Callithrix jacchus: one gene and its partner. Each later gene encodes a partner of the first gene's protein in a complex. Links are inferred from orthologs where the notes say so. Each region holds a gene or a part of one and is shown on either strand. Other genes may lie near its edges.

Evidence for each region. The genes of interacting proteins can lie anywhere in the genome.
Region 2: the proteins of BBS4 (region 1) and BBIP1 are in contact, whole or in part, in a cryo-EM structure (PDB 6VBV), measured with the Bos taurus proteins. The link is inferred for Callithrix jacchus from reciprocal best matches to the Homo sapiens genes BBS4 and BBIP1. Residues at the interface, in NP_001069424.1 of Bos taurus: Leu210, Leu213, Tyr236, Leu240, Ala241, Ser244, Gln247, Thr248, Ser269, Pro271, Asn274, Asn275, Met278, Phe281, Gly282, Lys284, Tyr298, Leu299, Pro301, Leu302, Asp303, Trp304, Lys305, Ile306, Tyr308, Asn309, Leu312, Leu315, Thr316, Gln318; in XP_003587939.1 of Bos taurus: Met7, Phe8, Arg9, Glu10, Val11, Leu12, Pro13, Lys14, Gln15, Gly16, Gln17, Leu18, Tyr19, Val20, Glu21, Asp22, Leu28, Lys30, Pro31.

The regions. Positions count from the first base shown.
Region 1 is NC_133509.1:19,622,702-19,628,465, forward strand, and holds part of BBS4 (BBSome complex member BBS4), read left to right. Parts: coding exon 1-29; intron 30-1,694; coding exon 1,695-1,822; intron 1,823-5,098; coding exon 5,099-5,153; intron 5,154-5,764.
Region 2 is NC_133513.1:103,841,668-103,847,760, forward strand, and holds the end of BBIP1 (BBSome-interacting protein 1), read right to left. Parts: intron 4,606-6,093; coding exon 4,531-4,605; intron 3,538-4,530; coding exon 3,371-3,537; 3' UTR 1,817-3,370; downstream 1-1,816. Other genes in the region: PDCD4 (programmed cell death protein 4), read left to right, coding at 1,103-1,163.

The DNA.
Region 1 (5,764 bases):
GCTACATTTATCTGAAGCAGTTCAACAAGGTAATTTATAGAAGTGGTGATGGATTTCACTGAGGGTGCACTTGCTGTTACAGTTACATTGCTCATTTTGTATTATCCTTGGTGCTTGCAGAGGTTTTTGGAACTGAAAATTAAAATTATCTTTATACATTTATTTCTGTTTTAATTTTCACTTGTCATTATTCATCTGTTGTTTTCTGCTTTTATAATAAGAACATGGAAAGTTCTAGAAATAGGAGAGAATGGCAGTTTTTCTCTTTCTTCTTTTTCTCTACCTCCAGTTTAATTTCCTAGTATAGAAACAAATGCTTAATAAAACATAAATATCAAAAAGTGGACCCTAAGTCTTAAAGGTGTAATCATGAGCATGTGAGTGATCTAATATCCTTACAGCAACTGATTTTAGTTTTTAGGGTCATTGAAAATAAATTTTAAGTGGATCTGATTTCTGAGTTTTAAAAGTTTTTAGTTATTTTCCATGATGAGAATTTATATTTCATTGTGATTAAGCTATAGGCTCCTATATCAGAGAAAACAATTAGAGCTTACCTCGGTACTCAGGTAAGGAAAAGTATATATCGTAATTGAGGAATAGACAGAATGTCTGAGAGCTCTAAAACTTAGTGATGGGAGCGTTGGGTAGTTTCCTTCATAGAGCTCACACTTAGTGATTGTGAAGTTTTATTCTCCTTTCTCCAGTGCCACCAGGACTGAGAATCTGAATTAGTACCCATCTGACAATGTTTAGTTTGTATCAATTTGCAGACTGGGATAACATAATCTATCCCACACTGGTGTAAAAAAAAATGCACATTAGCAATTGGGTTGTAAAAGTAACTTTTCTCCTGAGATAATAAACAATATATGTACATAAAATACATTTGGTGGGTCCCTTAGGTTTTGTAGATGGATCTACAGTTTTATATACTTGATTAGGAGATTTTTCTCTTCACAGACAATTTCAGACATTCATATTTCTATTCACAGCATTATTCTGAGTCAGGGGAAAAGAAGGATTAGTCTTTGGTTGGACCTGTACTGAGAAGAAATAGATTTTACTGTATAGCTAACAGGCTAGGCAAATACAATACTTACATTTATATAAATACTTGTTGTATCATTGAATGACAGAACACCTTTTTGTTTACTAGAAGGTAAACTCCTCCAGAGCAAGGAGTTGATTTTATTAATTCAAATATATTTAGCACCCAGAACAGCAAGTATTCAATGAATACTTGTTGGGTGAATAAATGAGAACAATCTATTTATTCATTTATCATCACATTGGTGGGGGAATGGGGGCCCACCGTAGAGAAATTTGTGCATTTGGTCACTGTTACAGCTGGGATTTAGTTTAGTGTAGTACTCTACATGTACTATGATGTTTCTTTTGACTTATGAAGTATGAGTCGTAGGTATGAATATCAAGCAGTAAACATTCAGAAAGATTAATCATCTTGCATAAATTCTTCCAAGTAGCTTCAGAAGCAGATATCCCATGTTGCCAGCTGTCTTTTCAACAAGGACAGTTTTGGTATGTTTTGGTCTTTGGGTAGTGGGGGCTCTTTGCTGAAATGTGATGTTCCTATGTCAATACAGCAGCAACTGTCTTTACATTAGCCATATCAAGTTATAGTTCTTTCAGTGGTAGTGATTTGGTTTTCTTTGCTTTGTCAAACTTGTCAGGCACAAGACCAGTTACACAATGCCCTGAATCTTAATAGGCATGATCTGACTTATATAATGCTGGGGAAGATCCACCTGCTGGAGGGAGACTTGGACAAGGCCATTGAAATCTACAAGAAAGCAGTGGAGTAAGTGTAACTGTTTCCTTTAGAACAATGAGAAACTACTATGTTTGATTAATTACTTATTGTATGAGTTAAAGGTGAAGCTGAGGTTTAAGTTAAGAGCTCCTGATGGCTTCAGTAAGGTAGACTGTGTTTCTTTCTCACCTCTCAGGATGGCTGCTGCTTTAGGTTAGCTGGGCAGCTCTATTCTACAAGGTGAGCCAGGGATCCAGGGTTCTTCCTTATTAACTCACCATTCCTTAGGTTTTTGTCTTTATCTGCAATGTTTGATGCTGAATGTAACATCCACATCCAGGCTGTGGTAGGAGATGGTATGGGAAGCTAAGTATGGAATAAGCATCTGGCAATAATTTTATATTTCTTTTTGAGACAGGCTCTTACTCTGTCACTCAGGCAGCTCACTGCAGCCTCAACCTCCTGGGCTCCAGCGATCTTCTCACTTTAGCCTCCCAAGTAGTTGGGACTACAGGCATGTGCCACATGCCCAGCTAATTTTTTTTTTTTTTTTTTTTTTGAGATGGAGTCTTGCTCTGTTGCCAGGCTGGAGTGCAGTGGCATGATTTTGACTCACTGCAACCTTCACCTCCCGAGTTCAAGTGATTCTCCTGCCTTAGCCTCCCAAGTAGCTGGGATCATAGGTGCGTACCACCGTGTCCAGCTAATTTTGTATTTTTAGTGTGCACCACCATGTCCAGCTAATTTTTGTATTTTTAGTAGAGACGGGGTTTTACCATGTTGGCCAGGATAGTCTCGATCTCTTGACCTTATGATCTGCCTGCCTCGGCCTCCCAAAGTGCTGGGATTAAAGGAGCGAGCCACCACCATGCCCGGCCTATCCAGCTAATTTTCAAAAACGTTTTTGTGTTGACAAGGCCTCGCTATGTTGTCCAGACTGGTCTTAAACTTCTGAGCTCAAGCAATCCTCTTGCCTCACCTTTCCAAAGTGCTGGGATTACAGGTGTGAGCCACTGCACCTGGGCTTGGTAATAAATTTCAAATGACCCAGAAATTGCACACATCGCTCCTGCTTACATTCCATGGTTCAAAACTACGTGAGAGTTGCAAGAGAAGTAGGCAGATGCACACTCAGGAAGAAGGAAATAACAGATTTAGGAGTTGGCTGACAGTCTGGCATTTTGGTATCATATGTTAGCAACAGATCTTCTGTTTTCAGAGATATTATTAGGGACAGAAATCTGATTCAGTAAAAAAACATAAGAAATGTTTGGCCTTTATTAGCATGAGACCAGTATCTTTTTTTTTTAAACATCACTAGGGTAATACAGACTTCCCTTGATAATGGAACTGATTGGCTTTCCCATGATGGTGTTTCATATTTTCTCTCTAGAAACACATGCTTTCTTTTCTGTTTAGGGTCTTGTCTTGTTCTTTCTTTCCTTTCTCCTTCCTTCCTCCCTGCCTCTCTTTCTTCCCTCTCTCCCTCCCTCCCTCTCTTTCTTTTCTTTCCTTCATTTCCTCCCTCCCTCCTTTCGTTCCTTTCTTTCATCAGAATCTCACTCTGTCACCCAGGCCTGAGTGCAGTGGTGTGATCTTGGCTCACTGCAGCCTCTGCCTCCCAGGTTCAAGTGATTCTTATGCCTCAGCCTCCTGAGTAGCTGGGACTAGAGGAGTGCGCTGCCACACCTGGCTTATACTTGTATTTTAGCAGAGACGGTGTTTTACCATGTTGGCCAGATTGGTCTTGAACTCCTGGACTCAAGTGATCTGCCTCCCTTGGCCTCCCACCGTGCTGGGATTGCAGGCTTGAGCCACTGCGCCTGGCCTTGTGTTGTTTCTTTTAAATGGGACAGCTGTAGCAAAATGCTTTGTCTCATTTGTTTGGTCACTTAACAGAATGTCTGGTCCATGGTTCAAGGTTTATTATTCCTAATAATTAGATTCTGAACTAAACTTAGATTGCTATTAATTTATTATCTTTGTCTTCTACCATGGTAGTAAATTTTCTGGTTATGTCAATGACAACACTGCTTTCTGAATTTTCTTCAACCACATTTTGTGTCTAAAAAGACAGAAAAATCACTTGGTTTGTTAAGCTACGGAAGCAACTTTTGTCATCAAGAAGCTGTATATATGGGCAAGTAGTAAGGAGCATGTAACATGTTAAGTGCCTCTGTGATGCTAGGTAGTAGCCCTGACCCCTGACCCCTGCCTTCTAGAGGTTGGCTCTTTGAGATTAGGATACATAAATCCCAAGGGGACATTCTTCCAGTAACCAATCAAGGACTTCAGTCACTAAATTTCCCAAGAGAGAAATGTGGACAGCTAAAATTTGAAGCCTTACTGAGAAGATAGAGGCCATTGTTCATGACATACAGCTTTGAATGGTCATGTTGTAGTGGGGGACTGATACGCTAGAATTATAGAAGTTACCTGTCTTTGGGGAGGGAAGTGATCAAAATGGATGTTTATTATGGCAAAAAGTGAAAGGCAGATTCCCAGTTGAATTGAGAAAGCTGTTTGGTCAGCTCGGGCCTTCCCTGGCTGGGGCTCTGCATCTTCTGGTTCAGGTCTCCCTAGAGGTAACCAGTGTCCTGTATTGTTCCTTAGAAGCATGAGACATTGTTCATAGCCCTTTGGTGTTTTACTGTTGGAGTTGTCTGATGATCCTATAATTAGATCATCCCAACTCAGTGTTGCTTTGGTTTTGTGACAAAGACATATTAGTGAGGGATTGAGCAGGCAGATCATATTTTGCTTAGATCAGCATTTACTTCCAAAGGTCAGGAGCACCTTCTTTCCTAGGATTGGTATGTATCTTCCTTCTTTTTTGTTTGGCTACTTAGTATAGCTTTTTGTTTAAGTGGAGAGAAGAGCATTATAGGAGCCTTGGGATCCAAAATTACATAGAAAATTATGCTGCCTGGCATTGTGAACACAATGAGAATAGAAAAAAAATCCCACAAGAGAGGACTGGTGAAACTATGTATAAGTTCTAGACTGACTTGGTTTATAAAGCATTGTTCTTTAATTTTATTAGTGTGACCAAGACAGTCATGCAAAATATTCTTTCTTAGGACTTTTACTCTAAGAAAGGAGTCTGAATTCTAAGCCCCATTTCTTGCTGAGCAGTTCTCCCTATTGCCAGGGTTGAGATGATCTACTTTTGATGGCAGTTCCCAAAGTGTCTTCAGGGATTTCCACGGGGAGCAAGAGGTTCAGTGGGGCCTGTCAAGTATTACACAAGGATACATTACCATGCTTGTGTCTCCGTGATTCTCATCCACATCTTGTTTCCCTCTGAGCATCTCTATGTTGCAGGTTCTCACCAGAAAATACAGAACTTCTTACAACTTTAGGATTACTCTATTTACAGGTAATGAAAATTCTTGACTCATTCATGCATTGATGTTAGAAATGCTTTTGGGTTTGTGTGTCTGGTGGTTTTCTTGCATTTTGATATTTATCTTACTAAAGGTCAAAGTACATGAACTACACTCTCTATTTGATAGTCTTTGTTAAAGGAATTAATTTTCTGCTTTTAAATTGGAAGTAATTCTATTTTACCTTAGTGCAATTATAATTCTTATCTTGGCTGGGCGTGGTGTCTCATGCCTGTAATCCCAGCACTTTGGGAGGCTGGTGGATCACTTGAGCCCTGGAGTTAGAGACCAGTCTTGGCAACATAAGGAGACCCTGTCTCCACAAAAAATACAAAAATTAGCCAGGCATGAATGATGACATGTGACTGTAATCCCAGCTACTTGGGAGGCTGAAATGGGAGGATTGCTTGAATTTGGGAGGCAGAGGTTGCAGTGAGCTGAGCCACTGTACTCCAGCTTGGGTGACACAGCCAGACCCCCATCTCAAAAAAAAAAAAAAAAAAATCCTTATGTAACGTGGGAAAGAGCATATATCATAAATAACTCTGGTGTTGGGGGGTTGTTACTTTGTTGTAAGGAGAGAAACTGATACAAGTGAGCACTT
Region 2 (6,093 bases), on another chromosome or scaffold:
ACTGGAAAGTGGGTGTGTGGTTGTGTGTGGGGATGTTCTCACTGGAAAGTGTATATGTGGGTGTATGTGGGGATGTTCTCACTGGAAAGTGTATGTGTGGGTGTATGTGGGGATGTTCTCACTGGAAAGTGTATGTGTGGGTGTATGTGGGGATGTTCTCACTGGAAAGTGTATGTGTGGGTGTATGTGGGGATGTTCTCACTGGAAAGTGGGTGTGTGGTTGTGTGTGGGGATGTTCTCACTGGAAAGTGTGTGGCCAGTACCCTGGCATTGGCCTTTTGAAAGTTTTTCAGCCTCTGTTTCAAAGTCTGTGTGGCTTTATTCTCAAGGGTCACATGAGGAGATAACTAAACTTTCTGTTTATACATACCATACTGCTTTGACTTTTGTCCTTTATCTTTTAGCCTATTTGGGTGAGGTGCATATTTGTGTGTGGTTTTGCATGCTTGTGCATACTGGCCTGCAGTCAGAGAGTAAGGGCTAATGTTGCCCAAGTTCTATTTCCCACTTACTGTTTTAGGCCACTGTCCAGCTGTTCCTTCTGGGCTGTTGCTACTACATGTAGCTGGAGTGTGGGCTTATATATTATAGAGCAGGGCTTCTAAATGGAGCATAGGCTATAATTCTGATTTGTTTTTCCCACATTCAAGTTACCGTTTTTCTATAGCTGATACAAGATTTTTTTAAATTGTCAAACATGGATATTTTGATAGATTCCACAGCTCCAGTTTGCATAATTCTGAATTATGTTAGTGTTTCCTATTTGGCTCACTGTTAAGTTTACAGATAATAATAATGTAGAAATAAATATTAAACTTCTAAATAAAATAAAATGTTTGCTTTAGTTTGACATCAACTTTTTAAATGTGATTATTTGGATAGTGCTAAAAAAAACAAACTCAGATTTGACATTGATGTTTTTATGCTTTTATAGAGTAGGGAATCCTTTCCAAAGGAATTAGAGGTATGCTGATTTTTTTTTTTAAAGGAAAACCCTTTAAAAGCTAATATGTAACCAAAAAATACCAAGTTTTAAATTTTTTTATTGACTATAGTTAGAAATTGTATCTGTTTTCATGGGTTTTTTTTTTCTTCATTACAGGGGCAGAAAGCGTTTTGTAAGCGAAGGAGATGGAGGTCGTCTTAAACCAGAGAGCTACTGAATATAAGAACTCTTGCAGTCTTAGATATTATAAAAATATATATCTGAATTGTAAGAGTTGTTAGCACAAGTTTTTTTTTTTTTGGCACTTGTTTTGGGTACAAGGCATTTCTGACATTTTATAAACCTACATTTAAGGGGAATTTTTAAAGGTAATGTTTTTTCTTTCTTTTTTTTTTTTTTGAGGGGCAAAGGAGGGACAGAAAAGAAACCTCTCCTTAAGTGGAATATTCTAATAAGCTACCTTTTGTTAAGTGCCATGTTTATGACCTAATCATTCCAAGTTTTGCATTGATGTCTGACTGCCACTCCTTTCTTTCAAGGACAGTGTTTTTTGTAGTAAAATCACTGGTTTATACAAAGCTTTATTTAGGGGGTAAAGTTAAGCTGCTAAAACCCCATGTTGGCTGCTGCTGTTGAAATACTGTGCTTTGGAAGTTAAAAAAAAAAAGAAAGTTATTTGTCTTAAAGAATTAAAAAAAAATTAGTCGTGAGACTTATTCATCTTTCTAGGGAACATACTGATTGGTCTTAAAAGACTACACAGTGAAGTAAATGGTGGCTGGAACATCTATTTTTCTACAAAACTGGAAAAATGAACCTGGTTCTAGAAGAATGTACACCAAAATAAAAGATGTGAAGCAGTGTTGATTCTTTATTGGGAGTACATTTATTTTAGATCTTTTAAACTTTAATTTCACACAGCAAATTTTAAATCTCATAAGGAAGCATATTTGAACTTAGTGAATTTAATCTTAGTGTTCCTTGAAAACTTTTTTTTCCTACAAACTTTTAAATCAAAAGTACAATAGTAAATTAAGAATACGCTCAGGAAAGAAATGCAGTATCACTTTCTTCCACTCTTACCTGATCTAGAGCTTAAATAAGTTTTAGAAATATGTAATACCTTCCATCATTCCATTCCTAAATTCTGTTACCAAATAATGGCTAGTGTTAAAAAAAGTTATTCTCCAAAGACTGAAAGCTTGACATTTACCCAATGTCTGAGAAAATATGACCTACCGATTAATAACAAAAGAATGATCATACTTTGAAACCACTTTTTTGTTGAGACAGAGTTTCGCTTGTTACCCAGGCTGGAGTGCAATGGCGTGATCTCGGCTCGCCGCAACCTCCGCCTCCTGGGGTCAGGCAATTCTCCTGCCTCAGCCTCCCAAGTAGCTGGGATTACAGGCACACGCCACCAGGCCCAGCTAATTTTTCTTATATATTTAGTAGAGACGGGGTTTCACCATGTTGACCTGGATGGTTTCGATCTCTTGACCTTGTGATCCACCCGCCTCGGCCTCCCAAAGTGCTGGCATTACAGGCTTGAGCCACCGCGCCCGGCCTCAACCACTTTTACATAGCCTAATAACTCAGCAAGCCCTCAAGGTGTATGCTAAACTGCCAAATATTGAATGCAGCAAACCGACAATTATATTCAGAATTTATGTGGGTACTATTAGGAGTATACCGATTGCAAGTTTAGATACAGTCTGTTAGAATTAAAACCAAGTTTAATGTTCATATTTACCTCATATTACCTAGGCTTATAATACAGTTAACATTTTTAGGTTTTTAATTGACACCTGGATGATAAACACCATTATGTAATTCTCAAGTCCTTAACATTAATGTAATTAAAAGCTTAGCTGATTACAGAGTAGGGGAGGGTTTCTTCAAAATGAGATTTAATACAGTTTTATCATTACTGGTAGGATCTGGTCACACATGACAGTATTAAATGTGACATGGCACCTAAAATTGGTTAAAAAAATTTTTTTAATTGATTTGTTTAATTCAATAATGTAAAAGCCCAACAAACACTTTATGCAACACTGGAATATATCTTCCAATTCAGATTTTAATAAATGTGTAAAGATCTATTAGTCCCTTGTGCCCAAGAATGTTATCTATAAGAGATAGCAACAGGAATGGTGAACAAATAATACACAGTTCTAAAAACATGAGTAAAAAACCCCATAAAATTTGGTTCATAGTAACTATGTTCAATACAAACCAGAGTGTTTACACTCACAATACAAATTTCATCAATCTTAGGTATATTTGTATTTATATGAATACTATCAATTTTATTGATAATATTAACAAATACTACTTTCAGCACACAGAAGCATATGATTTTCTAGTTACTGTTAAACAGTAGGTAAGACAGGTTGTTCCCTAAAGTGCTTCAGTTACCGTTCAGTGGGTTATTTGCCGTTGATTCTTTTCTGCCATTTCTTGTTGGCGAATTGTATCCTGTGCTGCTTGATGCATTTTCTCTAGTTTTTCCAGAGTCAGAGATTTTAAAGGTAAAAGTTTGGGTTTACACAGCACCATTGTGGTTATATCTTCCACAAACAATGGCCCTAAGTTTAATAAGAAATAAGAATTAAGAAAAGTAACCCAGTGGTTTGGTAGTTGGATTTGCAGCTAGAATGAAGGTCTAAAAAATTAATACGTTGTCACTGAAAAACTCTTGTACCTAAACTGAGTTTTGCTGTGGGACCAGAAAGATCATAGTCACCCTATAGGCAGCATTTCTTACTACTGGGGTGTTTCTGAGGAAAATAAGTTTTGAACTTTCTACCCAAGAATTTATGTTATCATAAGACAAAACTTTGTGTCAGAAGTTTTATTTTAAAATAAGATTGGGCAGGATATATATATGTAGTGCAAAAACTATAGCAAAGTATGGTATTTAACATACATATTCAAATGCCTGTTTAAACCTTCAGCTTTTCTGTCACTTAAGGTTTCTCTTTCTCCACTTTCAGACCTTATTAACATTATAGTAAATTCCATTATATCCTTCATTGAATTTCATATTGAGCCGGGCATGGTAGCTCATACCTGTAATCCCAGCACTTTGGGATCTCAAAGGGGTTGGATTGTTTGAGCCTAGGGGTTCGAGACAGCCTTGGCAACACAGTGAGATCCAGTCTCTACAAAAACAAAACTAGCCAGGCACAGTAGCACATGTCTGTTGTACTAGCAAATCGGTAGGCCAGGACATGAGCCCAGCAGTTCAAGGCTGCAGTGAGCTATGATTATGCCGACTGTATCCAAGCCTAGGTGACCGAGTGAAAACATGTTCTCTTAAAAAAAAATTCATATTGTAGTTAGCAATTTTAGGTATAAGTAACAATGCTTCATTTGTTATCCTTTTACTGGAAAGAAAAAAGTGAGGATCCCTCCTTTATAATATACTGATGAGAAAAGCATATACTAAGAGTAAACAGTAAATGAGACAATATGGAACACAACAGCTGCAGATGTTTAGCTATTAAGCCTGCTATGTGACACTGCCTATCACTTGGTTAGTCTCTGTAATAATGATCTCAATATTTGTGATGTACTACCTTGTTTTGGAAGAACTTCCCGGAACACTGGCTTCACTTCTGCCATGTTGGAGTTGTTGGATACAGTGTTTTCCCCTTGAATGAGAAATCAGTGTTATTCAAGTATAAACTCCCAAAGCAGATTGCCTGAGACATTTCCATTGTAGTTTAAGCAGTAAAATCCAAATTCCTATAGAAAGTGAACCACCCTTGCATAATATTGCCATTAATTTCCTGTGACCTTGGGATAGTTTGTATAAGCATCTTGTCAACTTTCATTAATCAGCTATGTTAACTACAAGGCTGGCGGGTGTTCTAATTTATTTTTCTCTCATAGTGAAAACTTGGTAGAGCTTTGGTTTTTAAGGCAAAGATGATTAATATCATCTGAGGAAAAGGTATGTGTGTGTAGCCAGCGTGGTTCATTGATAGCATTTCTCCTGAATGGTGGGTGACAAAAAAAACATGACCACCAGTTGAGAGGGTGAGGCAGGTAGTTACGAAAAGGAGGAAGTGGCAGGCAAACATTTCCTAAGATTCTTACTTCTTTCAACAAACAGCTAACAGCTGGATTCTACTTTGTGCCTAACACAAAGCATCCTATGGATCAGTTACTGGCTACACAGCTGCAATTTGTAACAAAGTAATGCAATAGGTGAAATTGGCTACTGAAGAATGGAAATATGGTGTGCTTTCAGCTTGCTATTTTCCTCTAATACTGAGATTCTATATGCTAAAGGACCAGCAAATACTTAACCAGGAGTATTTGTTATGAACATCCCAGCAAACATACCGTTTTTGCTAGTGATATTTGCTTCAAGTATTACAGCCAAGATTCTGCTATGCTGTATGCTCAAGGTGTTCTGGACTAAACTGTAGAATGATCCCTTTCCAAACACAGATGCTTTTCTAGACAGTCCCACCCACTCAGTGATTCACCTTGCTGATGCAACCTTAGCATGCCTCTTTCACAACATCACCCCCACAGATTTATTATTTATAAAGTGGTGATGCTGGCTTGGTGCCTACCTTTAACAACCCCTGCAAATTAATTACAATCAAGTGAAGCTGCTTCTGGTCTTTGTTATTCCCACTCCACTACTTTGACATTCCTAATAAAAGCTTTCTCCTCTGTATCCAAGTCTCTTCATCTCTCTTGCTCAGATTTTTATTCTGGAATGTCCAAGTTCCTGAAAACCTCTATCTGCTTTCCAGAACTTTATCATCAAGTGTCACCCCTATAGTGTTCTAGCAAGAAGGTGAAATAAGTAATGGACCAGGAATAAAGCAACTCACCACTTAAATAGAATATGAAGTAAATACAATGTGCAATTTCCTTAGACTGCACAGCTTCTCCTACCATATTCTTTCCTTTTTAGGTCTGCCAGTGGTACCTAGTGATCACTGCTTTTCTTTTTTCCAGGTTAGGATGAAGGCTAACAACACTACAGACCTGATTAGCCTTGAGTTGAGCTATCAAAAACACCACCTAGCCTCTCCATTAAAGACATCACAGTGAAAATATTACGATCAAATTTCCTTATTTGAAGCAAATCTGACATGGTATGCCACTGAAAGAGAGGA